Linked DNA regions of Struthio camelus. Each later gene encodes a partner of the first gene's protein in a complex. Links are inferred from orthologs where the notes say so. Each region holds a gene or a part of one and is shown in the gene's direction. Other genes may lie near its edges. The genes, in order: QRSL1 and GATC.

Evidence for each region.
Region 2: QRSL1 (region 1) and GATC share a complex: the UniProt entries of both Homo sapiens proteins name them as parts of the heterotrimeric GatCAB amidotransferase (AdT) complex. The link is inferred for Struthio camelus from reciprocal best matches to the Homo sapiens genes QRSL1 and GATC.

What each region holds. Positions count from the first base shown.
Region 1 is NC_090944.1:58,706,639-58,722,873, forward strand, and holds the start of QRSL1 (glutamyl-tRNA(Gln) amidotransferase subunit A, mitochondrial), read left to right. Parts: upstream 1-9,257; 5' UTR 9,258-9,391; coding exon 9,392-9,415; intron 9,416-9,703; exon of another isoform or gene 9,704-9,743; coding exon 9,744-9,903; intron 9,904-11,111; coding exon 11,112-11,210; intron 11,211-12,761; coding exon 12,762-12,858; intron 12,859-14,646; coding exon 14,647-14,823; intron 14,824-16,235. Other genes in the region: RTN4IP1 (reticulon-4-interacting protein 1, mitochondrial), read right to left, coding at 208-256, 5,743-5,867, 6,115-6,183, 7,002-7,153, 8,870-9,134. UniProt on the Homo sapiens protein: Allows the formation of correctly charged Gln-tRNA(Gln) through the transamidation of misacylated Glu-tRNA(Gln) in the mitochondria. The reaction takes place in the presence of glutamine and ATP through an activated gamma-phospho-Glu-tRNA(Gln).
Region 2 is NC_090958.1:7,925,339-7,941,725, forward strand, and holds GATC (glutamyl-tRNA(Gln) amidotransferase subunit C, mitochondrial), read left to right. Parts: upstream 1-7,846; coding exon 7,847-7,942; intron 7,943-9,844; coding exon 9,845-10,011; intron 10,012-10,816; coding exon 10,817-10,920; intron 10,921-11,329; coding exon 11,330-11,385; 3' UTR 11,386-11,641; downstream 11,642-16,387. Other genes in the region: COX6A1 (cytochrome c oxidase subunit 6A1, mitochondrial), read left to right, coding at 2,476-2,578, 2,871-3,010, 3,604-3,690; TRIAP1 (TP53-regulated inhibitor of apoptosis 1), read right to left, coding at 7,215-7,298, 7,589-7,735. UniProt on the Homo sapiens protein: Allows the formation of correctly charged Gln-tRNA(Gln) through the transamidation of misacylated Glu-tRNA(Gln) in the mitochondria. The reaction takes place in the presence of glutamine and ATP through an activated gamma-phospho-Glu-tRNA(Gln).

The sequences.
Region 1 (16,235 bases):
AGCTCCCCGCTTCCTACCTTAAGCCAGTAAAACATAAGTATGGAAAGGAACAAACTCAAAATATTTCACTTTTGGAGCTCTGGCAGATTATTCAGTATCTTGTATTTAACTATCCTTTCCCTCAGTTCCCTTCCATCAAATTTTGTTCATGTTGAATAATTTCAACATGTGATGAAGGCACATCTTGGGCATGCCACAGTATATTACCTGTACAGCAAACGTACCAACTCCTCCTGAAGCTCCTAATATTAATACTCTGTAAGAGAAAATTAAAATTTATTAAATAGCTATTTAAATAAACTGAATAGGAAGTCAATCCCATTTTATATTCTAATGCTTCTTATACATCTCAGACATCAAATTGCTTTAAGCAAAAGATTATACTTGCCATTCACAATGACTTAGTGGTTAACTCTTCAGACACCTGGTAATTAATTGCTCATCTTATGCGCAACATTGCTGATCTTATTTCCTGTGCCAAGACCATTATCTCAGCCCAAAGAGACTTATTCCTATGTGCTTTCCGCTTTATCCAGCCAGTGGAGCTGTCAGGCAGTAACACTTATCACCAAAAAGCCCGGTCAGGAGTCCATACTTTCCCAAGCAGAATTGCTTAGGTTGGGACAAATCAGATAAGAGTCTCTCCGCCCACCAGACTCCACCGGCATTGCCCTGTCATATTTCCCAGAGGAAAAATCAAGTTCATCAACATTTAACACAAACTGGTATTATCCAAGATAAAAAGTGGTTTAGTTTCACAGTATTTAGAGAGAGCAGGAACTGCAGAATATACGAAACATAATTTTCCCATATCATGCTATATCTATCTGAAAGACAGACAAGTAGCAGAGAAGCCTCACCATAAATAAGTTTATTAAAATAAGGTATCTGTCCCTTTCTTTAGGAAAAAGGCAGTAGAATTTTTTTTAGCTTCATAGCTTTCAAAAATGACCCTGTAAAATCCCAGGTTGTGGGAATCGGTAAACAAGCAAGAAAATAAAGGAGTCCACTACCTAATTATTAGAGAGTTCCTCTTAACTGTGTGAAATAAACAACTCACAGTGACTTATGGAACACACTATCCTAATTTAATCAAAATGAATACAACTTTAGTGGTGTGAGAACCTTACCTCCTACAGTCCAATCACTATTCAAAAGCTTCATCTAGATATTTTTAATAAATAGCTAGACTTCAGGAAGGACAGTAGTAAGAAAGTCTTGCAACTGAAGCTACAAACAACCTGACAAGCTTGGACCCATTTGCTAATTCCAGGTCAGTCTTGGCATTGGACTGTGGAGCCCCATGTTGCTCAGAACTTCAGTTTTCCAACAAAATTTCAGTATTTTCAAAAGCAGGTGGTGTTCCTGTTTTAAATCTCACTGTGCTGGGTGTTGCAGGAAACTGCTTGTCCAAAGCGCCAATGCGTACTGTACAGTCTCAGTTTACAAAAACTCTGAAGTAACTTAAGAGGCTCGGCTTTGGTCACAGTATCCATTTTAAAATGTTTTCTCTTTTGTAATAGATTAGATTCTGCTCCCTCCTATTTCACTGATTTAAACCGCAAAATTCAGATTGAGAATTTCAAATCTCAGTGCCTGCCACTGTTCCGTCTGCTAAAATGCACTTATACTCAGAATCATACTTTTAACGAAAGGCGGCTAAAGCAACATTTATATTTAGATTTTATTATCCTACAAAAAGCACTACAGTATCCTACACTCACAATACTGGGTTGAGACCATCTTTATCCTTACAAAGGACGGTCACAACTAAATCCCTACAAAAGGTGAAATTCCATTACATTCCATTACTACAAAAACAGCAAATTCCTTGTCAAACAGTCTTCCCAGTTTTCCTTCTTGCTTAAATACTGGAGAAAGCTGTAGTCTGAAAATGTACATTTTGCTCAGTGATTTATGGAACACTTTCGGTTTTGGGGAGCTGCTTGGTTACAACTGCTTTTTATTTCCCCTCCCTCAATAAAAGCCCTCGAGATTCTTGAGGGAGAAATACGTTCTGGATTAGTTGTGTTCCTATGCTACATGGGCTATTTTCTACCAAAATTTCCTCTTACTAAAGCTTTCTCCATATAATCTGAGTCGAAAAAAGCTCTTTGCTTCAGAGAGAAACTACGTTTACACTCTTAAAGGCAGCTACACCACAGAGCCATCTGCCGCCCTCCAGGCCAAGTGACCCGTGCATGACTCTCGACTCGAGCCCACAATGCTTCCAGTTCACCTGTAGGAGACTGCCCTCATCCCTGCCTACACAGCCCTTGCCCTGGGCTGCCTGCAGTGCTGCAGTGGCTGTTACACATTTGCTTGGCTGTTCTTGTTTCTTTCAGCTCAAAGTCTTTGTAATTACAGGAGGCTTGTGGGCCACAGCTCAACACATCAGCGTTTTTATAACGCTGGGGACACAACGCATGCTGTTTGGCGTAAGGTAAAGAAGTGGGGAAGTGTTTGAAGGTGCAGGACCTGTTAGAATGGTATTGAAGGAACACAGAGGGTGTAAAGTGCCAAATCAGGCACAGCTTTGTTTGTATTGCCTAAGGAGAACATAGGCAGGAGAAAATGATCTCCGAGGAACTACCTGAGTCACTGCAAAGGCGAACTCTGAGAGTGAACTAACATACAAGCACGTGCACAAGTGGACCAGGACCCAGGAACAAACTAACGAGTTATCTGACCTGGCCAGAGACCCAAGAGGAAAAAGTTCTCCCAGAAGAACAAAGACACGTTCATCTCGCCTACCATAAGCTTTGCTCCCTTCTGGTGGAGGAACATAATTCAAGTAAGTATCTACCAATATTTATTTGAACTTTTCCATCCTCAGCATTCACTAAGTCCCATATGATGCTCTAGTGGTTCAAATGAGCACAGAATCAGCAGATCTCTCCTGATGAGTATACCATGGGATCTACGAGCTTAGCACTTCTCTCTGGACCCTGCTCTGAACTATGGCACGGCCAGAAAACGGCATCGGAGAACCAGGACCTGTTTCAGCTGTGCTCAACAATGAGAAACAAGGCTGGGGGAGCAGGGCAATGCAGGCTAGAATTGTCTACACTCAATTAACACAACTTTCAGTGGCTCAACCACATGTGCATAAATAAAGCAAAGGTTTAACAGCAAGAGATGTACCTGCCAAACTCTACTTGATTACATCAACAACGTCTTCTTGGGTATTTCTTCTTGTTATATCAAGAAGCTTTTATCCTATCAAGAACTGTTATACCCTACACTCACTTTTTTCTTCTCAACAGATGAAACAATGAAACAAAGCACAGACTTTTTGAAAATATTTTCTTGCGGTATTGCATCATTCAACTTTTCATTTTAACAGCATAAACCAAGGGAAGTTTAATAACTTACAGTAACAGAATCCTAATATATTTCCTCCTGGTATTCTGGTATACTAAGTTTTTTTACTTAGTATTAATGTAAAAGTTTTCAAGAACTTTTCAAACTGTCAGATTTTTTTTTTTTATCATGCTTTTTGTGAACCCAGTAAGACATTTAAGAGAGTTATTTTTGAAGGAGCGCATCCTTCCAGTGAAAGAGGACCCTCACAAATATGAGAAGCCCTCCAAGTGTTATCCACAGAGAACTTCAGAACTGTAGAGTCATTATGAACATTTTGGATAACAAGAACATTCACTTTTAGCTTGTGAAAGAATACACATTACAGTGATACAGGATAAAAGTTAAGAAATGACTAGAGCTGTAGCGAAGCAGGAGACATCATGAACAATTTGAATACGCTTCAGGTAACCATGGGGTCATGAAACTCGCAAAAATAGTATCTGTGAAAGTAAGTGCAAATGCAGTAGAGACTATTGTCAGATCAGAATATAGTCAGGTATTGGACTAAGAATATTTCTGGTTAGCCCACCCTTCCACCTTAAAGAGGCAAAGAAAACAATACACACCAATGGAAAAATCTCGCTGTTTCTAAGATGTCTTAACACTGCAATAGAGTATCAGTGAAGTAGTTTTCATCAAGGAATACAGATGCTCTTTCAAAATAAGACACACTCTTGTGTGTATATACACCCTTCTACATAGCTATATACATACACCTACAGGAGACAAAAAGACCAACATAAAATCACATATATGGGTACCTTCTTGCCAATCAGACATGTTAAACTATTTCAAGAAATTAAAAAACACTATGTACATTCTTACCCTATGAAATTATTGTCTTGAAATAGTAACGTAAAGTTCATAAAATGTACTTTTGCAGAGACACTTTAGTGTTACATATATATATATAAAAATGCATGAATATATGTATTTTTTCCATTTTCTCCAAGATTTTTTTTCACTAAAAAAGCACCTCACATAAGCCATTCTCTGTTGGTTTTGAAACCTAAACCTTCAAGATGGGGAAACATCATAAATTTTTAAATATATGAAAATGTTTTTTGCTGATAGAGTAATTAAATATTTGTTGGGAACATAAAAGTAAATGTTAAATATAAATGCAGTTTACATCTTACTTTTAAAAAGTTGAACACTTATGTGAACATTGTAAAGACACTTTAGGAAAAGGTTAGCCCATCAACATATCTTTAGGTTAATTATATTTATATGGGAAAGTTAAGACAGCAAAACACAGTGTGAACACTTAAGAAAAAAAGAGATGGTAAATCTAGGATGTTATCACGAGCTGCACATAAACTTCAAGGAAGTCTTGCAATTTATTTTCTCAAAATATTTTTTAATCTGCAGAACAAACATTTGCTTTACATTTTCCCTGATGGAATTTACTGTGGCATACTAAAAACCATTCACTTAAGTATCTTTTAAAGATGCGGATGAAGACTTGCAATAAATCTAGCGTCCTTCACAATGTGTTGCGCTGGAACACTAACCCCAAGATAAGAAGAGGTCAGACAAGCAGATTCCTAGTGCCCAACCTTATTTCATGATCTAAACTTTTGGTGCAGTGTAGTAGTTTTAATGATTATTTTTCAATTCCAGTATTTTTTATTTTAGCCTTCTTTCCATTCTCAACATTTTGCTATCTATTTACATAAGCACCTAAAGGCCAAAATAACGGCAAATTTCAATTATCAGGTGAAAAATGGTCCACCTGAAAAATGGTCCAATCTTTCAATACATTTTTTCCTCCTCCTGTCCTTCACCTGCCACTATCAGATTAACAGGCTGATAATAAAGCCACTTTTTCTATTTGTTTTGGCTGCTAGTCTTGCATGTTTTCCCCTTCTCTTCTGCCTTTCTGACTCCACCAAAGTTCTGTCCCACACGCCAAATGAGACCCCATCATCTTCTCCTTTTTCCTAAAAACACGGACGACCAGTCTGATCCAAATGTCCCAGGGCATGCCAGAACAGAGCAACTGAGTGAACCACATCTCTGTGGATGAGAGGACACAAGATAACTCAAAGAGAGAATATATTTGGATAAATGGCCTAGCATGCAGCAAGATAAAGTCCCTATAAATTCCTAGGGGCACTACCGCTACATTTGCAGTATAGTCAGCAGAGGAAGCTTGCTCATCAGCAAGCGGCTAGAACACTTCAGTCAGGCTCCTGGTCTGAATCTCCTTCTAAAGGAGCCTCTCTCGTTAGTTGTATAGATTGAACTCAGCACCTTTAGGCCAGCTGACCTTTTTTAATATTACAGTCTTCATCACTGTCAGATGTGCCTTATAATTTGCTAATCAATATAAAAATGGAACACTAAGCTTTAACACCAAAACTAGTTACTTACCTTTTCCCACCACAATTTTTGTCATTCAGTCCTCCAACATTGTTAACTGCAGACCATGCTGTGAGACCTACGTATGGTAAGGAAGCAGCTTCCGTGTGACTGAGACACTTGGGCTTAAAAGACACCTGAAATAAGACCAATTGTATCCAAGTCACAGAGCAGATCCTATGTACCACTGAAATACTTAGACAAGCTTTATTGATTTGCAGATCATGTACTCCACATTTCCAACTTATCTTGATTATCCACAATTAGCAAAAGATTGTAAATCAGTCTAAGCACTAAGAATTAGTTACTTAGGCACAGAAGAAAAATAATGTAAATATTAACAATTTTAAGTTTTGTCTCTTGGCTATATTTTTGAAGGTTTACCTCATTTCCACTAGCTACAACAAACTCTGACAAAGTGCCTTGTTTCCATGGAGGAATTGCTGCCCATACCTAAAAACAAAGGGAAAGCAACTATCAATTTTTGTTACTTTGCACAACATTGTAGATACAGAGACAAGTTTTCTTTATGAAAGAAACTTTCTCCCAGTTTGCAAAGTCTTCACTATTGCTTATCAGATAATAGTTTACCTTACTCTTTAAACAAAAAGCATGAGAAGAATAACTAAATGAAGGACTGCTGAGCTGCATAAGCTGTACCACACTGTGCACAGTATATATATTCCTTAAAAAAGGAAATTACTTTCACAGAAGGAAAGCCCAGATTGGGGAAGGGGAGAAAAAAAAAAAAATTTGCTATACTGGCACTAAGTAGTTGAAAGCAAATCATACCAGGATTTATGTGGGAGTTGAAAAGTCATTCTCCAGCTATGCCAGAGTTCCTACTATTACTACTTAAGTAACCCAAGGCAAAAAAAAAAATAAAAAAAATCCCTCTTCCAGTTAGAATTCTATCTTCAGTCAAAATGAAGCAGCATCTTGAGTTTGCGTAGTTATAAATAAATTCCCCTCTTTCTGCCACTAAAATGGACCAAAAATTTAAGAAGTTAGGCAACTTGTCGAAGCAAGTTTGGGAAAAGGTGGGATGGTTTTTGTTTTTTTTTTTTTTGTTGTTGTTTTGTTTTGTTTTTTTAAAGAGAAAGAAGGTAGAGAAGAAAGCATTCCAAAGACTTTCTGCACAATACTCTTCGTGTGCAAAATCACAGGAGAACAACAACAACAACAACAACTTAAGAGGGAAATGAAACCTGAACAGGTCATGCTATATTTTAACTATGCTTTTTTAGGAAAAAAGAGATTAGTTATATCACCTCATCTCCAGGTTTGAAATAAGACACACTTAGTCCACATTCCATAACTACACCAGACACATCTCGACCAAGCGTTAGTGGAAATTCATTCTCCACACTATTCAGTTTCAGGGGATCCCGCTTCATATTCAATGCAGTGGCACCATAACCACCTACAAAACATGAAATTAATCATAACATGTCTTATTGCGTTTTCATTTAAGAACTAGAAAATTCCAATTAGAAAGCACTGTCTGCACCTGATGTATCTAGTTTTCAAAATATTCTTCATTTTGATAGTAGCTTAAGCAGGCCCAAAAAGTGGAATATTTTATATTTTTACAGATTTTACAAAAAACTCAAATTTTAACTCTGACCTATTTCTTCTTTCCTCCCCTACATAACACACACTATGTGTAAAAATACAAATCACCATAAAACAATTTAGCAAGTTATACTATGATCTTATTAGACACTACACAAAAAAGGCTCTTTGTTATAGAGGGATCTAATATGTGGCAACACTGTCATTTTAAGAAGCCTGCGGGAAATGCTCCACTGTCCAACAACATCACAGAAATCCAGAAGAACTGCAAGCTTTCCATTCCACTTTTTCATATAAAATACCATAAGCATAGCAACATGAATATCTTTGTAAAAATTAAGGAACATATCCTAGGATGAGAAACCTTAACTTCTATTCAATAAGAAAGAGCTAAATGCTGTGAACTCCTAGGATTATGCACATAGCAATTCTGCTCAGCCTGACAAACCTGTATTCCAACATATATGGCCTTTCAAACGTCTGAGAAAGCCTATTTGCCTTATTATGCTAAGCGGTATGTAAAGACACAAACGCAGACACCTTGAAAGCAGGATGAAAGCAGGATGAAAGCATGGTTTCTTCCAAACGCTCTCTCGCTGGCACAAAACACAAGCTGTGCCCCAGAAGCTCAAGTGGCTCATTCAGCCACAACCCTCAGATAAGGAAACGTTGCATAATCAAACCCATAATTAAAAAGGCTTCTTAATTTATTTGAAACCCAAAATACAAATCACAGCTTTGTCAGCAGGCTTCATGCAGATATCTCCACACGGGTTACTGAATCTAATTTGATATGTGAGGTCACATCTCAGCATGAAATGCAAGATCTTCAACGACTGCGACTTCCTTCTCATATTTCAAAACTTGAAACTGAGAAAACATTCTGATTAAACATGCCAAATACAAAGAGTCAGTCAAAGGTACAGATTTCCCGGGCTGGTTGACAACAGCTACTCAGCTGCCGTTTCAGGAATACGCAAGGCACATGACAACGAACGTTGCGGTTTGCACTAGCTGGTACAGGCTGAATTTGAGGTGACCTTGAGCTTCAGCCCCGTTGATGTTCAGGAGATGGGAAAACTCGGTGCATCTCTCAGGGCAAACCTTTCCCCTTTGAAGGACTAGGGTCTTGATCAAGAGAGTGCTACCTGCTAGCACCCAGATGGTAGGGAAGGGGGAAGAGGCCAGGAAATAAAATCCCACCATGGCTATGCTGCTAACAAGTCAGTCGACTTGCGCGCCTCCAGCCTGCGAGAGGCCAGCAAACGGTTACCCGGACCAAAAACGGGTAACCCACCCCCACCTTTTTGCCTTCAGAAGGGCAACGGCCTTTTTAAGCCTGAACTACAGGAATCTGAGAGAGGCGGGCGGGCTCCGGGCGAAGCGCGTCTCAGAGCGGCAAGCCTCGCTGGAGACGGGCGCGACTGAGGGACGCTCGGGACTGTAAAAGCCCCCGGGTACGTCAGGGCCGCGAAGAAACCACACCGCGGCGTTTCGGGTTATTTCCTCAGAGGCGGCGGACGGCCGGGCCTCAGGGTGAGGCGCGGCAGGAGGCGGCACTTACTTCTCATGCTAAGGTCTATGGGGTTCAGGCTCGCGGCGTGCACTTTAATCACCACCTCGTTGGGGAAGCGTATGGCGGGCAGCGCCATGTCCCTGGTAAAGCGCAGCACCTCGTTGCGGCCGTACCGGTCAATGACCCAGGAAGGCATGGCGGTCCGCGCCGGCGGCGAGCTGCGCAGCCCGCGGCCCGCCGCCCCCGCCCGGCGCAGCAGGCCGCCGCCTCGCCGCCCGGCGCCGCGCAGCCCCGCGGCCCCCCGCGCTAGCATGGCCGTGGGGGCCCGGCGCCTTCCCGCTCAGGTGGGGCGACTCCGCCACCCCCCTCCGCGCACCGCCGTCGGGGCCTGCCCCGCGTCGGGACGGTGCCGTACGCCGGCCCCAGGCGACCTTCCGCGGCCAATGGGCGGCCGGCTTCTGCGCCGCCCCGCCAATGGCGCCGCTCGATGTTGCGGCAAGATGGCGGCGCCCAGGCGCTCGCCCTCGCGCTGCCTCGGCGGAGACGTGAGGAGGCAGGGAAGGCGCCGGCATGCTGCGTGCCTCCCTCCGAGAGGTGAGTAGCGGCGCCGAGCCCTCTCCGGGACCCGCCGGCGCACGGGGAGCCGAGCCGAGCCGAGCCGTGCCGTGCCGTGCCCGGCCCTGCCCCGCCGCAGTACGGGGCGGCGGCCGGTGGCGGCTGCCCGCCGCGGGGTGATCTCCGTTAAGGCCTAGCGCTGTGGGTCGGGGGGGGGCGGCGCGTGCCCCAAAATGGCGGCCGGTGGCGGCGGCCCCGGGACCTGCGTGGCCGATGTGGGGAGGCCTGGCAGCCGGCCGGCCGGCGGGGCGGAACCGGCTTTTGTACCTGGGCTGCGGGAGGCTCACAGCGGGAAACGTGATTTCAGGTGTCGGCGGCGCTGAAGGAAGGACGCGTGAGCCCGGCGGAGCTCTGCCAGCGCTGCCTCTCCCTCATCAGGAGCACCGCGTTCCTTAACGCCTACGTTACCGTCGCGGAAGAAACTGCGTTGAAGCAGGCTGAAGAGTCAGAGAAAAGATACAGGAGAGGTGTGTTAGCTCCTTGGTATCTGGCGCTGGTCCTTCAAAAGGCACCACGGGCGAGCTCTCCTTGTTAAATGAAGCACCTGTTATTCTTAAAGCAGGTGTACGTGTTATTCCTCTGGCTCTTAGTGGATGGGGGTCACAGCGGTGAACTCTGTGGGTCTGCGCTCGTCGTTACCCAGGAGCGTATCCGCTTCAGCCGTCCAGGGCGAGACCTGCTCTAAGCCAGTTAGCTTACTTCAGTAGTAAGCAGTAGAGACGAAGTAAGCTCTGTACCTACCGCACACTGCTGCAGCTGGCTGCCCCCTCTTTCCCTCAGGAGGTTAGTTTAAATCCATAGCGATTACCACACACAACAAGATGTAGCGGTCTTTGTAGGCCCGTCAAGCAAGACAGTCACATCTCCTCCTAGGCACATCAGGTTTTAAATTTGAAATAGGCAAATAAAAATAAAGCAACTCTGATAATCTTCAGTTGTTTGTTGGTAAACGGACGAGCATTAAATGGTGTTGTCTACAGCAGCTGGAGGTTGTTGTGTCCTCACTGACAAACTTCCCTTCTTAATTCTCGTTTGCATTTCCTGAATGATAGAAAAAGGGCATTTTCACCTGATGGGGTACTCTTTTTTTTTTTTTTCTCCTTTCTGGGTGATGCTTGCTGACCTGTGACAGCCTAAGAAAATTGCCAACCAGAGTATTTTGCTTCCTGGTGTAGGCACTTTTTTTTTTTTTTTGGCTGGGTGGTGATTAATCAGTCACCTGGGGAAGACTCTCTGCTACTGTCATTTTTTTAAGATCATATCTACTGTGTATGTCAGATAGGCAGAATTTATGACTCCTAGCCTAGGAATGGAGTCGATTTAGGCAGTACGTAAGGCTGACAAAGCCATTATGTGGTCATGGTTGAAGAAGTAAGCACTCCTTTGGGATTACTAACCTGTCTGAAAGCAGCTGCTTGTATTGAGGCTTAGGAAAATTTGCAGAGCTGGGCTCTACAGAGATAAGTCTGATCCGGGCAGGCTTAATGCTAGTGTTAAAACAGAAGACGGTTCTTGAAAATGTAACAGACAGCCGTCCCATCTGATGTGGACAGCATTCTTACTTACAAAAAAATCAAAAGTGAACATATCAATTGTATCTTACTTTATAAGAAGAACATACATATAGTACACTTCAATTTAATCCCTGTGGTCTTTGTGATAATTCCTAATGCAGGTCAGCCGCTGGGTGTTCTAGATGGAATTCCTATTGCAGTAAAAGACAACTTTAATACAGCTGGCATTGAGACAACATGTGCATCAAACATGCTAAAAGGTACAGTCGAGCTTTTTAAGTAAAGTCAGATCTCATTTCAAAGCCCTAACTCTCTTCTTTAAAGGGATTGTGGAGCAGACTCTTCTGGAAATTTAAGTATTTTCAAAAAATAAACTGAAGTCATTTCAGTGTTTTTCTGCTTTCCTCTGCCAAGCTGTTCGGTATTACAGGTGCATCTTTTTCTGTTATAAACACATCCTCTTGTTTATTTACATAGTTACGTTGCTGTTAATAACGCAATGTTTATTGTAGCCAATAAATGAAAACGTAACCACTCCCTAGCTCACATTTTGCTTCATATTAGCTTTAGATTTACAGGAGAGCAGTTGGTACTTTTTGCTGTTGTCCTGTCTAGCAAAATGCAAAGCCTTTTTTTTTGTTGTTGTTGTGTTGATAATTCTGACTTAAATAGTTTTTCTATATTGCTGTGAGACAGTACTCATTCCAGGTTTTTCTCTACATTCCTTGATATACAAACATATCCTAGAAGTTTGGTCTTTTTTTTTTAATTTGTTCAAATTTCATAAGCTCGTTCTTTCAATTAAGAGTCCGTGAAGATTTTCAAGAACTTAGAATGTTTCCTTAGTAAAAGCAATTGAAAAAAACTGCTATCCTATATCTTTGTTATAGGATAGGTCAACACAAATAGACTCCCTAATTTCCGGTTAAGGAGATAGCATTTCTTATATCAGTTTTATTCCACTGTACATACAGAGCAAAGCTGAAAAACTGAGGAAACATAGGATTCTGCTAATTTATTTGAGCTAATCTGATGACCGTGTTTTTTGTAATGAAAGAAACAAAAAAAAAAAAAAAGACTTCCCCCTTTTAAAAGCTTCATGTTACCTCACATGCTTTTGCTTATGCACATTTTCAGACCCATTGTGACTGATTGCAGTAGCATGGCAGAGAGTATTGGGAGCGACGTTTTCTTTTTTGCTAATTCCAGTTCAGGGTGGGGGTAGAGAAATTTCTGTCAGCATTCAAACAGGGAGTTGGTTGCTACCCAGTATCTTATGCAAGTGATTTTTTTCTCATCCTAGTTTATGTAAGGTATAAGAGATCACACGCTTGATCACAGGATAGCCAGTTAGAATTTCAGCATGTGGCTAGCTATACGCTCCTTTATCTCATAATAACGGCAAATGATGCAACGTAACTTAGCACTCTTCTGGAAAGAGCTGTTTCTCATTTGCTGTGAGGTAAGAGTATGCATTTTAGACAGTTACTGCGAATTGGCTGATTCCAGTAATTTGCTACCCTTGTCTTGTTTGTGTGAAGTCTTAGTTCTACAGTTTAGGATTGTACAATGCAGAATTACTGGAGTGTAAATTGTGGAAGAAGAAAAGCATTGTCAACACAACAATATTCGTTTACTTTTGATGAATTTTGAGAATTACTAGTGTTATCATGAAGCAGCGTTTTAGCACGGTAAAGTCACAATTCTTAGGCAAAAGCAGTGGCAACTTTGGAGAGTTCGGAGGAATAGTTCTTTCTGAAAATCATCCGTATCTCACCAACCAATCTCTTAACTGTTCTGATTGTTTTCAGGTTATATTTCTCCTTACAATGCTACAGTAGTTCAGAAATTATTGGATCAGGGAGCTGTCCTTTTAGGAAAAACAAACCTAGATGAATTTGCAATGGGGTGAGTGATGTTTATTATTTTTAATATGTGATTGCACATTAAATAGAATATACACCATCTGTTCTGATCTATCTGTAATCCTTAATTCTTCTTAGTGTGAGTTAAAAAATAGTGAATACTTATTCTCAAAGAGCGTGTGGAGTTGCATGAATTTCTCCATGAACAATTGTACAGTTGTGTAAATCAGATAAATGCTGATTTTTTATGAAAGTAGTGTTTGACCAGAGCTGTGTTTGAGCGGGAGGAAGTGGTACAGCCCTTTCAGAAGGCAAGAAGGTATTTTTTTTTTTTTTTGATCCAGCTGTGTTAGTAGAATTGGTTACTACCCCAGTTGTCTGTTGCCTTCCTCTCTCTGCTTACTGGTGATGTCTGACCTTAGCTAATTATTACGATGCCCCTGATGACAGTTACTGCCTCTGCCAGTCATCCACTGGGATAATTTGTACGAGTTCTTCCTGATTTTCTGCAAACGGGCTAATCCAGAGCAATACTTTAAATTGCCTAAGCTAATGTTGCTGGCTTTTGTCAGGAGCAAGTTGGGAAGTGTTTTTACAAATGGATTCTCCAGCAAATCAGTGAAGGCAGCAAGCTATGGCAGGGAGTTGTGGTGGACAGTTAAGGATGGGAGACTGCTGGGTCTGGAATAGGTTGTCTGGAAACTTAGTTGCCCGTGAGAAGTAGTAAGCGTTGTATTTTGTTTTGGTTTTTGTTTTGTCTAAACCAAAGACAGAACTGATTGGGAATTCAGACAATTTGCTTGAAGTACTCTGGCTGTGTTGTTTTGGATAAAATCATTTCTTTGTCAAAAAGAAACTCCTCAAAAGAAAGGCAGGGAAAAAGCGCAGAGGAAAACAACTGATTATGCAGTGATGCAGCTGGTCTGAGCTCATCAAAGCTCCAGATTCTGCAGAAAAGGATTGTTCCGCCCCTTACCTCATCTTTGGACTGTGTGTTTGCATGGTCTCGCTTGTGCCAAAACCAGCGTGGCTGCGCCGTGAGCTTGATCAGGGAGCTGATCCAGCTCAAAAGTCATATCTTGGTAAGGTTAGTTTTCACTGTGTCAATTGCCTGTTCTGTCTGGTGGTTTGGCTAGTAACGTGGGCAACCTAGAGTCAGAAAAAACGTGAAGTAGATTTTTGGGAGAAAGGTGGAAACCACCCCCCACACGCACACTTCTGGTAGCAGCCCACCGTTAGATTGGTGTAGGCTAACTGAAGCTGCACCCTGAGAAGCCGGTCTAGCAATCTAACCAACAGACTGTGGCCTCAGGAGAAGGCTACGGAGGGAGTAATAGCATTTTATTTACAGAGCAGTGCTCATTTCTGCTGTTGCAGTGCTTTTTTTTATTTTTTTTTAAACCTCTACCAGCATGGTTTTATGGTTTTCCACAAGACTGTGGTCATATTCTTTTGTCTTTTGCAAATGCAGAGTTAGGAAGCTGAAGACCTTTGTTTTGTAGCAGATACGCAGCTTTATTGTAACGTGGCTCACAGTCGTTTTTGCTGTGTTATTACATTAGTTTCAGGGGCATTAGCACATGTCAGAGTGAGGTATGAGTTCATATTTCCATCAAAGTACTGTGTCAGAAAGGGGTGAAGATGTAAAAACTTTGCGATTCTGTGCAACGTTGTTGGAGCTGATTGCATGAGGATATACATACGGCTGTTTTTCCATGTTGAAATTGAAATTGCTAAGGTGAAGAATGAGGAACTGCATGAAGAAAAAGTCGTTGAATGGAGAGTGTCATCTGTCACTCTTGTTTGTATTTATCCTATCTGAATATCTTAGATCTGGAAGTACGGATGGAATATTTGGACCAGTCAGAAACCCCTGGAGTTATTCAAGACAGTACAAAGAGAAAACTCTACCAAAATCCCATTCTGAGAATGAAGAGTCTAACTGGGTGATAACAGGAGGAAGTTCAGGAGGCAGTGCCGCTGCTGTATCATCTTTCACATGTTTTGCGTAAGAGGCTTTTTAGAATTGTTTTTAATTATATTTCTCAAAATGTGTTGCAAGGTTTTAATTTTATAATTTCTAATAAGCTAGTTCGTAGACTAAGTTTCAGGGAAAATGTTTATCCTGTTTACAGGATTATTTGCACTGGTACACAAGAATTTGTTTTAGCATCTCTAGTTTATTCATGGCATGACATGTAGCCAGAATGAGTCCATGTAGGTAAATTTAAGCTTATTAAATTTAAGTGCTGTACAGCATACTGGTGCAAGCATTTTGCGCTGCATGAAATAAAATACTAATGGCAGTAAAGAAATGACGTTTGATTGTTTTTCCCACATACTTTCTTAAAAACAGCATAGGATTTGTGACATATTCTCTACATCGATAAGCCTATTAGACTCTAAGTCTATAAGAAAATGACAAGATTCCTCAACTGATAACTCTGTAGTAATATCTCCTCCTATTCTTTGTTGTATAGCAGGGTTATGTAACAATACAAATGCAAGAGATTTGAGAACTAAAAGTTTTCAGATCCCTTTATCTGTGCAGCTGGCTTCCTTTAGGTAACTTAGATGTTCATCCATAATTTAAAAAAAAAAAAGAAGAGAGTTAAAAATAAACAAGCTGGCATTTTTTTAATACTTACTATCTGCATGGAATAGCAGTCCTTTATTTAAAAAGTCAATTACTTATACTGTCTTCCCATTCAAATATTGAGAGAAATCTGACCCTTAAAACTTCACGCTTTTCTACTTAGGCAGTTTTTAGAGCTACATAGTGGAGCTCATTGTGTATAAGATTATTTCAGTTGTGCTTTTAACTGGAAGGTGTTTTAAGAATGCTCTTTAACTACTGTGTCCTTGTTTACCCATAGACTATATGATGTATGTGTATCTTTTTTAATATTTTTTGCTCATTAAGTATTGTTTTACAATTATTTCTTTCCTCTGTTTTTTTTAATTAGTTATGTTTTTACATACAAAACTTGACGTTACTTGCTATACCTCTCTTCATCTCAGCGTCCTTTGCAAAGATGTAGTCTACTCACATTCTAATACTGTTTACAGTGAATGCAGTGCAGCCTGTCCCAAGGACTGCTGGTCCTTGTCCTGAACCAGAATGGCCTGATCCTGAGATGGTCTGGCACCATCTCTGATGTTTCTGGGCATGCTTACCTTCCAATCTGCACTGCTTAGCACTTTGTCAGACCGGGGAGATTTTTCTCCATCTCTTTTATTGCCTATAGCCTGTTCCATATTCTCTGTTAATTTCTTTCAAGCATCAGGAATGCTGCCAGTCTTTTTCTTTTCAATTTGAGATTAGGATTTACAGAAATGTTACAGAAATGAAGACGTTTTGCATCAACATAAAAACTTCAAGAAAATTCCATTTCAGCAAAGTCAGTTGAATCGTTTCAG
Region 2 (16,387 bases), on another chromosome or scaffold:
TACTTCTTTCCTCATCCTAGACAGCAGTTTGCTACTTGTTTTGCTGATCCTTTTTTGTTTTCTCTGCTTCCTCCTTTGCTCTTAACTGCATGGTCACCTTCGGAAGTGTTAATGTCTGCTGTTTGCTTACAGGCTTTTTTGCTGTAAACAAGAGTGATTTTGTTTATATGGTTCTTGCTATTAAATCAGCGCTGTAATTTGCTTTAATATAGAGAACTTAAGCTTGGTTTCATCACTTCAAAAATACTTCTTACAATTTCTGCTCACAAGATAAGTCACATTCTAATTTCTTTTTTAAAGCCTGGTATTATACGCCTCACAAGCCTGAAATCTAAACAGTGTAGGTGAAGAAGGCAAAATTCACCTCCAATGTGGACAAGAACTGCACCATGTAATTACTCCAAACTCCATTCAACAAAGCAAGCATGCACACGCATGGTGAGCTGCAGTGGTTTCAGGTCTGTACTGTAAAAAATGCATCAGATGGATGCAGATATTAGGAGAACAGTTCTGTAGGAAGATACGCACAATGCCACCAAGGAATATCTGTTTTTCTTTCAGTACAGAAAGAGGAGTGATCTTGAAATGATATATTACATGAAAGAATATGAAGGTGGATCAGTGGAAGAGGTAATCCTGATGTAAAAAATAAGACACTATCAAATACCAAAGTATTTATTAGCATTTTACACTGCAAAGATATAGCAAACTTAACTGGGCAATATTTTTATACCAAGATATGTTTCACAACAGCCTTCCAAGATGCCAGACCTCTCACCATTTCTGTATGTTACACAGTAAGATTCAAGCCCTCCCAGTGAACAGAATGAAAACATACTTACTTCCCAGCAGCAAACACAGCTTCCTACCGCCTATGACCATGTTGGAACAGCAACCTAGCCATGCCACAAAGGTCTTACCACAGAAAAGGTGATCAGTTTTGTGGAACTGCATTGAACTGGGCCTATACTACACATAGCCAGAGCAGCAATGGGTAATATCATAACCCCAACCCAGGAGATCTGGCTATCCAAACCGAGCTCTTGGGCTTTCCTTCTGCTCTTTGTCATCTTTCACAGGTGCCTATCTCATCAGATAGCAGAACCACTTTCTCCTCTTCCACAAATGAACATACCTTGTGAGGATGGAAAATGCACTTCCTCCGTCATCGTTCCCTCACAGACCAGACCTTGCCACTGTCCTTACCTTCAGGTCCCGTTTCTTTACTTTCTTTGTTTCTGTCTGTACAGCCAGTACAGGAGTCCTCTTCTTTTACTTCAGAGTTGATGAGCATTTGAAAATGTACTCTCCACCTACATGGCTTCTACCAAAGGTCAAACAGGCAACGATCAGACTCCAATAAAAAGTTATTATAAAAACAGGATCCAGACACTTGCAAATTAATTACAATGAACAGTTCTTCTGGAGATCTTGTGTCTATTCAACTGAGGTGGTTTTTATTTCAGCAGAATTCTCCCAGGAATCTACATAATTAAAGACACATCAGTGGTTACAAAAATGCATTTCATTTATGCCAAACATCTTTTTACTGCCATGATGGAAAGTTTCCATATCCCAGTGATGAGACTGGTCCCTAATGTGAAAAAGTGCTGTCAATGAATGCAACGGCCATTCTCTGCTGCCATATAAAACAAATGCAAATACAGCACTGTAATTACTCCATTGACAGGAAATTCTACCCAGGATACCAGCCTGACTCCTAAGTCATCTGTACCGAAGATACACAGTCTCTGAACCTCAGCTACGGACATCAACATTGGGAAACTTTCTTCCCTTAGTCTTTCTCTGCACATGGTGCCAGATATCGATGCCTTTCCTCCTTCTGCTCTAGAGAACAGTGTGGTCGCTGCTCCCATCCATTGCTGCACTTCAAAGTGCAGAATAAGCCAGCACAAAACCACTGTCAGCGGCCACAGGCACTCGTTGGTTTTGCCCCTCGCCGTGCCTCATCCTGACAGTCCCTGGTGCCCGCCTGCAATCTCCTTCCAGGAGTTCCTACGTTCCCACCCCGTCGCTGCTGCCCCCCGCCTCTACACCAGCTCCACGAGCCCTTCCAGACTTCTCGTGGCTCCAGACACCCCCAGCGCTCCACTACACCCTCCCGGCGGCCCGGCCCGGCCCGGCCCCAGAGCTGCGACATCGCCCACACGGGAGCAGCCGCCGCGCCTCAGTGCCAAAATGGCGCCGGGGCGCCGGAGCCCCCTCGCCCACCCGGCGCGACGGACGTCACGCGACTAACGGTTTCTCCCTTCCCCCTCCCTCCCCCCGACTGAGCGGCCTAGACCAGGGACAGCGCATGCGCAGCAAGGCGGCCCGGCCCGCCGCGGCTCAAGGTCAGGCGCGAGGTAGGCGCGCCAGCGCGCACGCGCGGGCGGGCCGTCCTTGCGCAGCTGGTGTGTCCCCTGCGGGCCGCCGTGGGTTCCGGTTCCGCTGGGCGCCGCCGAGGCAGAGGGGATGGCGGCGCTCGCCAGGGTCTCCCGGCTGCTGCTCGGCGCCGCCGCCCCGCGCTCCTTGCCGGGGCGCCGCATGTCGGCCGCGGCCCACGAGCCCGGCGGAGGTAACGGGGCCCCCGGGGCGGGGGCGCAGCCCGGCGCCGCGGCCGAGGCACCGTTGCCCTTGGCGGGCGCCGCCCTCTGCGCGGCAGCGGGCAGCCCCCGCTGGCGGTCGGAAGCGGCGCGGCGGCCCCGGCTCGCCCGCTCGGAGCCCCGCGCCCGGCTCGGGGACTCAGCAGCCCCTGTCGTTCCTAGCGGCTGCACGAGCGCGCTCGGCATGCTCTTGGGGCGGCCTCCGCGGAAATCTTGATTGCTGCTGCTGCTCTAATTCGGGCAATTTGTCTTCTCGCTTACTAGCCCGCCTGTGGAAGCTCTTGACCTTCGTGGTTGCTCTTCCTGGAGTTGGTGTCTGCATGCTGAACTGCTACTTAAAAGGACAGCACGAGCATGAAAGACCCGAGTTTATTCCTTATGCTCACCTCCGGATCAGGACCAAGGTATGTTCCAGTGCTCTGTTCAAAGACCTTCTTATTTCCTGTGACTGCAGAGCTTCATCTGAGGTTACTACAGCTTCTGTGGCTTTCTTACCTACAAAGTGAGGTGCTGCATACATAGGCATGATTTTAACTTTGTTTCTGAGACAGCAACGGAGGGTCTCACAGCTGAGCTGAAGTACCCATCGCCTTTGCAGGTCTAGAACTAGCCTTTTGCTTCCCCAGAGTAATCCTGCTGGGGCGTCACTGAAAACGCTTCAGCCACAGAGCTGCTTTAGTTACCTTACACAAATACAGAGGCTAATAGAGCTGATCCTATGATCCCAGATTCCCAAAACAAGGGTCCTGACAGTATTGATCTTTGATGTCCTGGCAATGACCTTATTGTCTAGAGACAGCTGTCACCAGCTAACGGAGACTGTTTTCCACCTTGCTCTTTGTACAACCTGGAAAGCAGATGTTAGCTTGCTTATTTCACCAGCCTTTCAAGCTGGGAGATGTTTGAGTCTATTTCCTGCTGCAAGAGTTAATCTCCTGTGCTGTAGTAGAGCCTTCCATTAGCTGCCAATGGCGTATTTTCTTTCTTCTTTCAACAGCCTTTCCCCTGGGGTGATGGGAACAAAAGTCTATTCCACAATCCCCATGTTAATGCTCTCCCAACTGGTTATGAAGACGAAAACTAAGATCTTGACCATAGCCACAACTTTGGCTCCTTCTGCATTTGGACCAGAATGTTGTATGGGAACCATCGTTTAAGAAACTCTGCATTCCTTCTACTATCAAGTCGAATGGTGTCGCGACCTCTGTTATGTGCTTGCGTAGAGGTCCTTTAAATAAAAACTCCTAACTTGAATTCAGGATCTGACTTTTTTTTGTTAGTCTGTGAATCCTTAGAAGTTTATTCTGCTTAAAACGGTGACACTCCCCCACAAGCAATAGCGCAGTAGCAAAGGGCTTTGAATGACTGAGTGTTACACCTGCTGCTGTACCTGATAATACTGATGTTAGCAATCAATATGTTTGTCATGAGTATGAAAGCAAATAATGCATGATGCCTGGTCTACCTGATCACTGTAAACACATAGCTCACATTAAAATGAACAGTTTTTAGGCTAACACTCTAGATTAAAATTCAGTGTATACTGAAGCAAATTCTGTGTAATCAACTACAGCAATAAAAAAAAATGTTATTAACACAGTCATCAAGGCAACTGTCTCTCACCCAGCGTGTTCTGAGACAGGAGGCGGCGGCAGTCAAAGGTGTGTAATTAAGCTCTGTGCAATTTCACAGTATTAATCTCTAGCTCTGGAGTTTCCTCGTATGCTATAAGCAGTGCACATAAGTTACTCACAGCTTTACAAAGAGCATAGTTGTGGTTTAATTGTACAAAAGTCTCTCTTACGGCCTTTGCAAATGAAAACACACTTTTTGCTCCACTGCATCTTTGTAATATGCACTGTGTCACTGAGAAGCAACTCGGCTCTGCAGGTTAAAGTTTAACGTTTCAAGGAGAGACTATAACTTTATTTTCCAAAGTCAGTAGCCAAGTCTAAAGCTCTCTGCCTGTCCCAATACAGCATTAATTTTGAAGAGTTTCCTCTCAACAAGTCAACTGTTTTCCTATTCCCTCTGCAACTTCCATATTCTTTTGCATGGCAGAACGCAGAGAGAACTTATGTCTTAGCTGTAATTATTATCATAATTTTTCCCCAAGGAAGACTACCACAGCTGACTTGGCATCCTGCTGCTGAAAGGAGTGATGGAGAGTAAATGAGCTAAATGTAAGAAGCTCTAAAGTGGGCACCGCAGGACACCTTTTCCCATGTTTCAGTATAATTTATTTCATCTACGTAGCTCAACAGAACACTACAGTAGGATGACTTTAAAATTCTTCTGTATTAAAAGCACAGAACAAGGCACTAATGGGCTTAGTTTTTTGTAAAGTTAACTGCCCAAATAACAGTACATTTATTCCTGTATGAAAATGATTACGGAAAAGTGAAGTGGTTGTATAGGTTACTCCTTTAAAAAAAAGTTTCACACTTGACAGTCCCCAAAACGCTATTTAGAATAGAATATAGAATAAAATAGAATATTATTCTAATAGAATAGAATGTTCCCCTAGCATATTTCCCATAAGAGAAAGCTAATTTTATTTATACCTGAGTGACCCAGCAATTTTTAAGTGTCACAGAACAAGCTGTTAAGTGCTTCATATAATCACTGTACAGCCTATTGAGCTACCTGCCTAACGCACCTGAGAAGGGAGTGTGCTGAAACCAGACTATAGAGCAGACAGCACGCAACAGCTGCTATGTTTAGGCCATCGCTGAAGGCACAGGGAACGAAGGCCCCACTATGCTGCAGTTTCTGATATGCAGCACAAATCCTAAGCTAATTTTAAGCATGTGAAATCGTTACTTAGGACCTGCAGCGCAGACAAGCCAGCTACTGTGTTTGAGAACTGCAAATGAATTATTTTGTGTGATTTTTTTTTGTTTGTTTTAAAGTAAAGGCTTTGAACCATGTCTCAGGTAGTCCTTAAAAAGCTAAGAATGAAGCTCATCTTTTTTCCAACAGAATTACAAAGCTGACTTCTCTCTTTTATTCCCAGCTCAGAATGATTTTTTTTAACTCCCTCACCTGTACTGGTGTTCTAGGAGAGGACAGCTTTAGCCCGTCCCTATATGAGGATCAGTGGAGATCTCCCCTGCCACAAGGCTCTGAGGGCTCCTGGATGAGACAGGGTGGGTCCCGGTCTGGATCCCTCACCCCTCTTCCGAACACCTTCATTTTCCTAGTACCTGCAAGGAGGAGCGAAGCTCTGTCATTGAATGTCTCGGGACAGAGGAATTAGAAAACGGATTTGGAGAGAAGAAAAGGCTAGTTCCTGATGACTTCTTCACAACCACGTAAGGAAACACCTGTCATCAGGAACCTTCCATTCTTTCCAGAGAGAAGCCTCCTCAGCCCTTCTACTGCCATTCAAAGGCAGACAATTTCAGGCAACTGTTTTAGGAAAACCAAAAACCAGTGTCATTGTCGTGTTACACAAAGGAGTTAATGTACCTACACCACGTTCAGCTGGGATATCTGATGAGTTAGCCGGCCATCTCACCCTTTCACAGTCACTGCCACTACAGAATTAATAACTTAATCTGTTTCTGTAGTTTACGAGACAGCATATTGAGACAAAGAGGTAACAATTTTAATTTGCTTTACTAGGTGCGAACTACACGTGGTTCGGGAGCAGCTTTGCGAGCAGGTGAGGCGGCCCCAAGAGGCAGGACAGGCAGCTGGAGCTTTAACCATATCAGCTGCCAAGCTTCAATCCAATGTTGCCCTCATTCAATACACGCTTCCAGCTACCCCGAGCAAAAGTGTAACAATGATCATGGCCAACCCGGGGCTTGGTGGGAGAGCGTGTAGAACGACGGCCAGGTCTGCGCTGCAGTTTTCCTGCAGGGACAGACAACATGAAAGGAAAGAAAATTCAAGTTGCAGATTGTTTCAGTACCTCGGAAAAGGCTGGGGAGTACCCTCCACAATCAAAGGCTCCTCTTCAGCAGGCTGTCTCTGCTGAAGATATCTCTATCTCTTTGAGGTCATACTCAGATTCTACTGGACAGCTATCTACTAGAACAAAATATAGCCTGGTTATCAATATTTATTTTAGCTAGGATATTGCACACGGAGCATAAGTGCTTTTATAACATCTCTGGCATCGATACAAAGCAACGTGGTAGCCCCTCAGCATCCAGGATATCAACCAAGCCCCTTTCTCCACAAGTCAGCAGCACAGAGATGAGACAAAGTAAACCAATCGCCTTCATGCTCTTTTTAAATGTTCTGACGTGTTATATAAATAAGCAAGAGAAATCGGTTACAGATCAGTAACTCAACCCATCCTAACAGGCATTCTCCCATTACAGAGTACATTCACATAGGAAGTTAGTTAAAAAGGCTTTTCACAGTTAGATGCTGAGTCACCACCAACATTCATCGAAAAGGGGGCAGTAATTACCACGTGATCCGGGGTGGTGGTGGTGGTGTTTTTACAAGCAGAGCAGAGTACTTGCTTCCTAAAAGGCTACACAGAGAAAGCAGCTTAACAAAGGCCTTTTCCAGGTGGCATCTAGTCTTTTTGTGTGGTTAGGTTCCTTAGTCCAAAGGCTCATGTTAGTGACTCCACGGGAAGAGCTGAAGTCAAGAGGAGTTCTCCGTTTTCCCTTTGCTTGGGCCCATGAATTCCAGGCCTTCAATGGGTATGTCCTTCTCCTTGATTGCTTTCTGGGGAGAAGAAAAACAAACACGCACCTTTACCGCGCTAAATGATGTGTTGTCTGGGACAAAGCAAGACCTAAGGATTAGTAGGCTGGGACGGCTCGGGACAAAGCTGTAATACTAAAGGTGCTCGAAGAGGCGCGGGGAAGCAGCGCTGGGCTGCGACCTCGAGCCCGCCGCAGGAAGGGGCGGCGAGCGCCGCGCTAACCGGCGCGGACGAGCCTCGCCAGGAGGACAGGGACGGCCGGCACCGGCTGCGGAGGGGACGGGAGGGAGGCGCCGGGCCGGGCGCGCACCTGCACGCAGAGCTGGTAGCGGCGGAAGAGCTGCCCGCAGGGGTCGGCGGCGCGCTCGCCCTTGAGGAAGGTCTCGGCGAACCAGCGGTTGAAGCACTGGTCGTACTCGCGCTTCAGCTCCGTGCAGGCCTCGCCCACGCTGTTCATGATGGCGGCGGCACCCCGCGACCCCCCCGCCCCCCGCCGCCGTCGTGACGCGCTTCCCGCGCGCCGCAAGTGCCGCCGGGTGACGCGGCGCGGGCGCTTCCGGCGGCGGCGATGCGGGCGCTGCGCGCGCTGCGGCTGCTGCGGGCGGGGCCGGGGCCGAGGGCGGCGCACGGCGGCGGCGCGCGGGAGGGGCGGCGGCTCCCGCAGGTACGGCGGCGCGCGAGGCGCCGGGGCGCGCGGGGCGGGGCGGGGCCCCCGGCACCGGCACAGCTGCTGTCCCCCGGCACAGCCCCGGCACCCGGGACAGCCCGGCCCCGACACCCGGGACAGCCCGGCCCCGGCACCCGGGACAGCCCGGCCCCGGCACCCGGCACTGATGCCATCCCCAGACAGCCGCTGTCCCCGACACCCTGGGACAGCCCGGCCCCGACACCCGGCACTGATGCCATCCCCAACACCCGGGACAGCCCGGCCCCGACACCCGGCACTGATGCCATCCCCGACACCCAGGACAGCCCGGCCCCGACACCCGGCACTGATGCCATCCCCGACACCCAGGACAGCCCGGCCCCGACACCCGGCACTGATGCCATCCCCGACACCCAGGACAGCCCGGCCCCGACACCCGGCACTGATGCCATCCCCAGACAGCCGCTGTCCCCGACACCCGGGACAGCCCGGCCCCGGCACTGATGCCATCCCCAGACAGCCGCTGTCCCCGACACCCGGGACAGCCCAGCCCCGACACCCAGCACTGATGCCATCCCCGACACCCAGGACAGCCCGGCCCCGGCACCCGGCACTGATGCCATCCCCGACACCCGGGACAGCCCGGCCCCGGCACCCGGCACTGATGCCATCCCCAGACAGCCGCTGTCCCCGACACCCGGGACAGCCCGGCCCCGACACCCGGGACAGCCCGGCCCCGGCACTGATGCCATCCCCAGACAGCCGCTGTCCCCGACACCCGGGACAGCCCAGCCCCGACACCCAGCACTGATGCCATCCCCGACACCCAGGACAGCCCGGCCCCGGCACCCGGCACTGATGCCATCCCCAGACAGCCGCTGTCCCCGACACCCGGGACAGCCCAGCCCCAACACCCGGCACTGATGCCATCCCCGACACCCGGGACAGCCCGGCCCCAGCACCCATCACTGATGCCATCCCCAGACAGCCGCTGTCCCCGACACCCTGGGACAGCCCAGCCCTGACACCCGGCACTGATGCCATCCCCGACACCCGGGACAGCCCGGCCCCAGCACCCGGCACTGATGCCATCCCCAGACAGCCGCTGTCCCCGACACCCCGGGACAGCCCGGCCCCGACACCCGGCACTGATGCCATCCCCAGACAGCCGCTGTCCCCGACACCCTGGGACAGCCCGGCCCCGACACCCGGCACTGATGCCATCCCCGACACCCGGGACAGCCCGGCCCCGACACCCGGCACTGATGCCATCCCCAGACAGCCGCTGTCCCCGACACCCGGGACAGCCCGTCCTCAGTTCGCAGAGCTGGAATCGGCGTGTCCGCACTCACGGCACCCTGCAGACAGATCCATTTACCTCGTGTGTGCAGGGTGCCGACAGCTCCCTGGTTGCTGCGACACACGCAGGTAGATCTTCAGTGGCTGTGGAGTGTCACAGCTGCGCTGAAGTCCACAGGAACAGCTCTTTGTCGCAGTCGGGAGGCGAGCCCTGTGCGACGAGGCTCTGGGCTTGTGGAGAGGAGAACCAGCTGCAGCACGCAGGCCTGGAGCCCCCTCGCCAGCTCTCCCCCACGGCTCTCCGAATTAGCTTTACAAGTGCCAGTTCTTCCGCTTGTCCTCTGCTACACAGACAGTGACGGGGAGAAGGAGGAAGGACTGGCTTGATTAAAGTCAATTTTCCATTCTGATCTGTGACTTCATCAGAAAGGGAAAGGAATAAAAGAAATCAAGATGTTCTAACAGAAGTAAACTCAGTTATTTTCTAAACAAGAAAAGCTTGTTCCATAGCAAAGATGTTAGCGACAGTATCTGGAACTGACTCATCTTTGCCCGTTTTTCCATCCGTCTGTGGCAGCCTATTCCCAGGATCCAAGCAAGGGACTGTGTCTTTTCTTACAGGAAACAGTAACGGTGGCCGTGCTGGATCACTTGGAGCACCTAGCGCTCGTTGATTTCCGCAACGCAGAGGGCGTAGAGCGGCTGCAGAAAGCAATCCAGTTTGCTGATCAGCTTCATGAGGTAAACACAGAGGGAATACAACCAATGGATTCAGTACTAGAAGACAGGTGAGGAATCACTGTTAGTGGCCTGCTTTGAACTATTCATTTGTCAAAGTATTTGCTCTGAAAACTTTTTTCCAGAAATATCCTAGCTATACATTTGGCCCCTTTGCTTACAGAAAGCCTTTAATGCGGTGGTGTGCGGAAGAAAGAGGCCAGATTAGTGCCCACAAGCTTAACACGTTAGCACAGCAAAGATGCACTCCAATCCTTTAGCGCTGTCTTGCTATTTATCCTGAAGGACCTGCACGTGCTGTTCCCCCAGTGTCTGGCAACAGCTTTTGAAGTTGCTTCAAAGTGTCCTAGTACTTGTTGGTCTGCTTGCTTGAGACTGAAAACAGCTTTAGAGATACTCAATGCTTTGTACTTTAGTAACAACCTAACAGGGCATGTTTAGCTCAGCTTTTTACAAAGTTGTGCTGCCAGTAATCCTACATGCAAACATGCAGTCCTACATGTACGTCCTCTGACGTACTTGCCTCTGTATGGCCAGCTCCATACTAAAGCTACCACCAAGTCAAGAGGCGTGGGATGTTTTCAAGGTTTCACTGTCGGTTTAGTGATTGTTTAGGTATATTCAAAGCCTGACAGACTAAGTTTTTCTGACAGGAACAAGGCTGCGACTGTTCACTCATTTGCCAGTCGTCTTTAAGGAAGAACTTCTTAACATGTCAACAGCTTATTGAACAGAAACATTAAAAGATAATGGAGATGTGAAAAAAAAAACAGATCCATGGTGCTTGCACGCAACTTCTGTGCTAGCCTTTGTACTTTGTAGTTTAAAGACAGGCTACTACTCTTTGTTCTTCAGGTGTCTGTATCTCAGAGAAGATGATGTTACAGAAGGCAACTGCACAAAGGAGCTGCTGAAAAATGCCAGAGAAAAAATAGAGGAATATTTTGTAGCCCCACCAGGTACTGTCTTGTTTATAAAAAACCTCTTAATTTTGCTTGAACTACCTTTTGCTTGAATTAACCTGAGCAATGTACCCCCCCACACACAACTGAATTTACTTTCAGAAATACTAGGCAGTAATAAGAATGTATTAAAATAGGGAAATAATATCTGTAGCCGTCTATGAAGACACACTTAAATCTATTGGTCCAAAAGGAGTACAGAAATCTTACCCTAAAGATAGTGCGCATATAGACCTTCCTTCATTTGCAGGAAGTCAGACAAAACTTTTTTGCTCAGGACGTGCAAGTTGCCTGTACGTATTCAGAATAAACTGGAGGGGCACATTTGTGTTAATTTGTACTACCCGGAAGGTAACTTACAGCTGGTCTCACACCTTTTTTTTTTTGTTTGTTTGTTTCCTATCAGGTAACATCCCTTTACCAAAGTTAGAAGAAAGAGACACTTTTCTGCAGGGATCTTAATGAAAGCCAAGAACCAGAACGCCATTTCAGTAGTTTATTTGGGAAAACAAGGGTTTGTGCAGCCACAGCTGAAATACTCTAGTGGATATTTTTATCAAAAGAGCACTTGTACTACCACATTTTTACACCTTCCTTCTGTAAATTATCTTGCTATTGAAATATATTCACTGTTCATGAAGCTGAAAGGCAGCATGAAATCTAGACAAATGTCCTTTGTGCTTTTATTTATTAAAGCGTGTCCATGTGTCCATGTTAATCTTTAAGATGCCGAATGGCTTAAAGGTTTTAAAGAGAACGTTAAGTGTGATAATTAAAAAAGAAACAAAACACTTTTTTTTCCTGACAAACATACAATAAAACCCAAATATTTGCACTGTATCCTTACCAACAGCCCTTTCCCAGCATGAATGAGGAATGAACAACTGGAGCCTATGACCAATGCATAAATAACCAGATTGAGATTTCCATAAAGGTGGCAGTTGCTTTGTTCACATTCTGGTATTCAAGGTCTACAGAGAAAGACTTTACAAAACATTTGGCGAGGGCATTTGAGAAATACCTCGTTAACAATCACCTGCAAGAGCAGAGGTTCAGCTCTTGGAGAGGAAGATGAGAACAAACGTGTAAGATGCTATGATGTCAGCCTAGCCAGACAGGTAAAGGATGGAGTCTGCCCATTAGGATTTTAACTGCCAGTGGCAAGCTACAAAAAAATAGAGCCATCCTTCACACTAAGGAGACGCCAAACTCTCAAGCAAGAGTTACATACCAGTAGCTCAAATTCTGTAAGGAAATCTCCCAAGCAAGCGTGCTTAGCCTTCAGCTCCCAGGCAGGACTTGTGTCATAGAAAGCTCAGCGACAGTAAAAAGGTGATCGCAAAGAAGTAGCACAGCTCCAAGAACAAAAAAACTCCACCTAAAACAAACAAACAAGCTCTATGGCTTAGCAGCTCAGAGATCAGGAGACCACCACAGAAAGAGGTTCTGTGCTGGGAAAATGGGGAGCACCACTACAGCGAGCAACAGTTTCATCCTGGCTGACGATACTGAAGTTTGCTCACAGAACCTCCAGCGGCTGGAGGCACGAGGAGCCAAGGCTCATTGACAGAAACCAGAGACCTGCTGAAAAGAGAAGAGTGCAGCAAACTGGGAGTAGTCCAGACCTCTTGCTTTCAAGATATAAAAAAGCACAGAAAACATCTGTGACAGACTTTTCTTCCTGGACCATGTCCCCTCCAAATATATATTTACAAATTCAGAATTATTTATTCTAATAATAACTTCATGCACTGGAAGAGATCATGAGCCACAATGGAATTTTCTTGAGAAATGCTAGAAGAGACCCTTGAAGTTATTGTAATAGGATACTACTAATCACCAGCTCTGAGATTCTGCTTTTATGGCTCTCGAGAGCATGGCAGGAAAAGGAAAGTGTGCTCTTCCATGACTGTGCATGCACATGCTGTTCCCTGGAGGGCAGAAACTTACCCCGTGAGATTGGACCTTGATGTCATCCACTTTACGCAGTACATGTTCTGTGTCTTCTTTGCAAAGAAAAGCCACTGCTCCCATTCTGTACACGCCCACTCTGGATACTCCTATCTTTCTGTACATCTGCATAATGAACTTCCAACAGCTTCACGCATGCAGTCCTTCTGGTCCTGCCAGCTGCCTGATAGAGGAAGTCCCGAGCGAGGCCATCATCCTAATCCTTCTCTCCCATAAACTTCCACATCCTTGCAAACAACAGGTAATACAAATTAGAGGTTAAATATATACATGCATGCATTGCTGCTTAACATCTCAAAAGGCCACTAAGTCTATTAAAAGTATAATAATATGAAAAACACTGAAAAAAATACTTGAAGAGAGTTTCAGTAGTAATGGTATTGGGTTCAGCCATTAGTGGCTTGCTCATAATACTGTATGTGTGTGCAAACTGCTTTGAAAAGCTCCCTCGTAAGCCATTATGTGCTACTTATTTCATGGAAAACCTAAGTTGAGTGAAAAAGACTACAGCTGCCTTTGCTGTTATTCACCAATAAGATGAGCCTACTACACAGGACCAAGACATCACAACCACTGGGCAAGATCCATTTTCGTTCACTTATCTGAGAAGTTGCTGTTTTGGTAAACTTTGAATGATCTGGAATTTTTTTTTTTTAATATCTGTCTAGCAGGAAGTGAGAGAAAACACTTTTGTTCCACTCTTATTTTGTTTTTGCACAGTTACCTCATTATTTGTTTTGGCTTCCATAATACACCTATAGGCATAGATATATATATATATATTTACATGTAATTATATACATATATATTTGATCTCTCTGAAGGGTATTGAATAAAAATCTGTATTTAGTCCCACTAATCCAATTTACTGCAAAGTTATAACACAGTATTACTGTTTAAGTCTCAGGTTTTTTGAGATTTAGACCTTGCGAATCCCAAACTTCTACAACTATACAAGCCTTTGCTAACAGACACTTAGGATCCATGCATAAAGCACAGCAGGGAAAGACTGTAAGTCAGCAAGCACATCCTATGACAAACATGTTAGCAGAGCATTCCCAATTTGAGAAATCTCCACTCGCTCCTATCCGTTTTGGCCTCCTTCTTTAACCATCAGAGAGAACGGGCACGATGTTATTTACACAAAAAGCAAGAGTTTGAGATTGGACTGTGCTGCCTCAGGACCTACTAGCCCAATATATCATCAAGCAACTATGTAAACAGCAGTCAAGCCAGTAATTTGCTCAAAGATGATCCCACATTGCCAAAGTGGCACAGACTGAGCATAACCCCCCCGCCTCACTGGTGCACTGTTGCCACCCAGCCCCCACGCTCCGGAGCTGGAGCGGGCTGCCTGCTGCCACCTCCTTAACACTTCTTCCCCACAGGCTGAACTATGTTAAACGAGTTGAAAACACATGTTTCCTTAATAAAGGGTTTTGCTGCAACTTTGCCACTGACAAGAGAATTACAGCTCTGACTCAGACACCTGCAAACCCCAAACTAAAATGCCTTGGGAAAGGCCAGACAGGCTGCCTATAGGGCAGTCTACATCATGACTCCAGTCCACCTCGGTGGGTGTCTAACGCAGCAGGTGTTGTTCACAAATAGCTTGAAAATCCAATCTTTACAGTGTTCTGCCACTCCATGACTTAGGAACACAGGCAAACAAATAGATGTAGCTAAGGAACTGTGTAATAACATCAACAATGTGACCCTTGCGCATGCTCAAAAGCATACACACTCACTTTAGTGGGGGGGCGGGGGGATCACTACTTGCAAATTCCTCCTAACTGCAGTGAGGCAAACGTAACGTATATTTCTGAAACAACTCATCTTTTCTCAGTGATTAGTAGTTATAGCAATAGAGAAAAAAAACTGTTATTTGACCAAAAAAAGGGTCAGATTCTGAGATTATGTAAGTGTACGTAGTTCCCCTGGAGACCGCGAAGATAGCTTGACTTGTGTCTGCTGAGAATTCCCTCTACCATACAGATACATAGCTTATAAAATTTGCTTAGATGCCCTAGCATATGGATTCCAGCTTTACAAAGAAAACCTTAAGATGGGGATGGAAAAAAGAAAACTGAGGTTGTTTTATTACCAAAAATGATTATTTTATATTTTGATACTACCTAGGAGCCTCAAGAAAAATCTCTGCATTAGATACAGCTATACAATGCTCACACAGCACAAAATAAAGCCACTGCTGCAAGGCGCTTACAGTCTATCCTCCATCTGCAGTATGAATCTCATGGTATGCCTTAGTCATGACCCAATCTTCCCCGGCACCTCCTCTACCGCAGCTATCATCTCCTGGATGTATTTGTTCTGCCTTCCCCTCCAGCTCTGTCCTGAGGGGAATTACACTTTTATGTTCTTGATCAACAAGTAAGGCTTTAATGTTTCATTTTAAAGCCATGTATCTCAGGCTTTAATGTTCCTCTTTAAAGCCATGTATCTCACCCACACTGACATTTCCTGCAGTTGTCATCAAATCTGTTTGTTCAGCTAACCATTTTTTAATAAATGCTTTGCAGTTTGCCTGCAGCTACCAAACGCAGCCACCTCCTCAGAGATTCATGGGTGTTTCTAAAGTTCACAGTGAGTGCTGGGAAGATGGCGAAATGGTTCATTTTTGTCAGTGCAAAACTGTCTAGTACTCAAAGATCCCCTGCAACTGCTGCAGAGAGTACCCTGTTCCGTAAATTCACTGTTCACTATGGCCTCAAGACTATCACAGAGCTTCTTCAAGTTACTAGCACACAAGGTTTCTTCTGACCCTTCATTCACCTGCGGCATTAAACCTGGTAGTTCCCTTAATGTCATAACTTTCAGCACACACTACGGATGGTGGGATAGAAAATAAAGCTGTGAATTGCATCTCTTTTACTTGTAATGCCAAAAACTGGGAGATTAAAGCCAGATGTTATTTCTGAGATACTCCAGGGTGATGTAACGAACCCATTGTCAAGTTGTTGTTGGGTTTTTTTTAGCAGTATATTCTGCAGAAGTTGCCTCAGAGCTTGCAAAAGCAAAAGGTTGCTTGCAGTTATACTGAGTGACACAAAACAGGTAACTAGATTGTACTAGTATAAACATATTTGCATTTCAAGTGCAGTGATGACTACTCCTGAGCTTTTCATTTCCACAGGGAAATTCCATGCCTACCAAACAATATTTTAAAACGTCTCTTTTAAGTCACCCTCTACTATTTGCTATAAGACAAGGAGCAGTCTTCTTACTAACAGATCTCTAACTGTGCAAGACTCCACAGCAATTTTTGAGCTGCTGATGAGAGCTGAAGCAGAAAGTGCCCCAGGGAAAGTGAAACCAACAGATACAAAAGCGCTGAGGAGCCCGCAGAGCATCCCGCTCGGTAAACACCGGGTGAGAATTCAGACAGTTGCAGAAATAGGGTGAGGTTGCAAAACACGCCTTAAATGAGAGATGCAAGTCCGGTGGATTCAGTTTGCCAAAGGGAAGAGTTTAG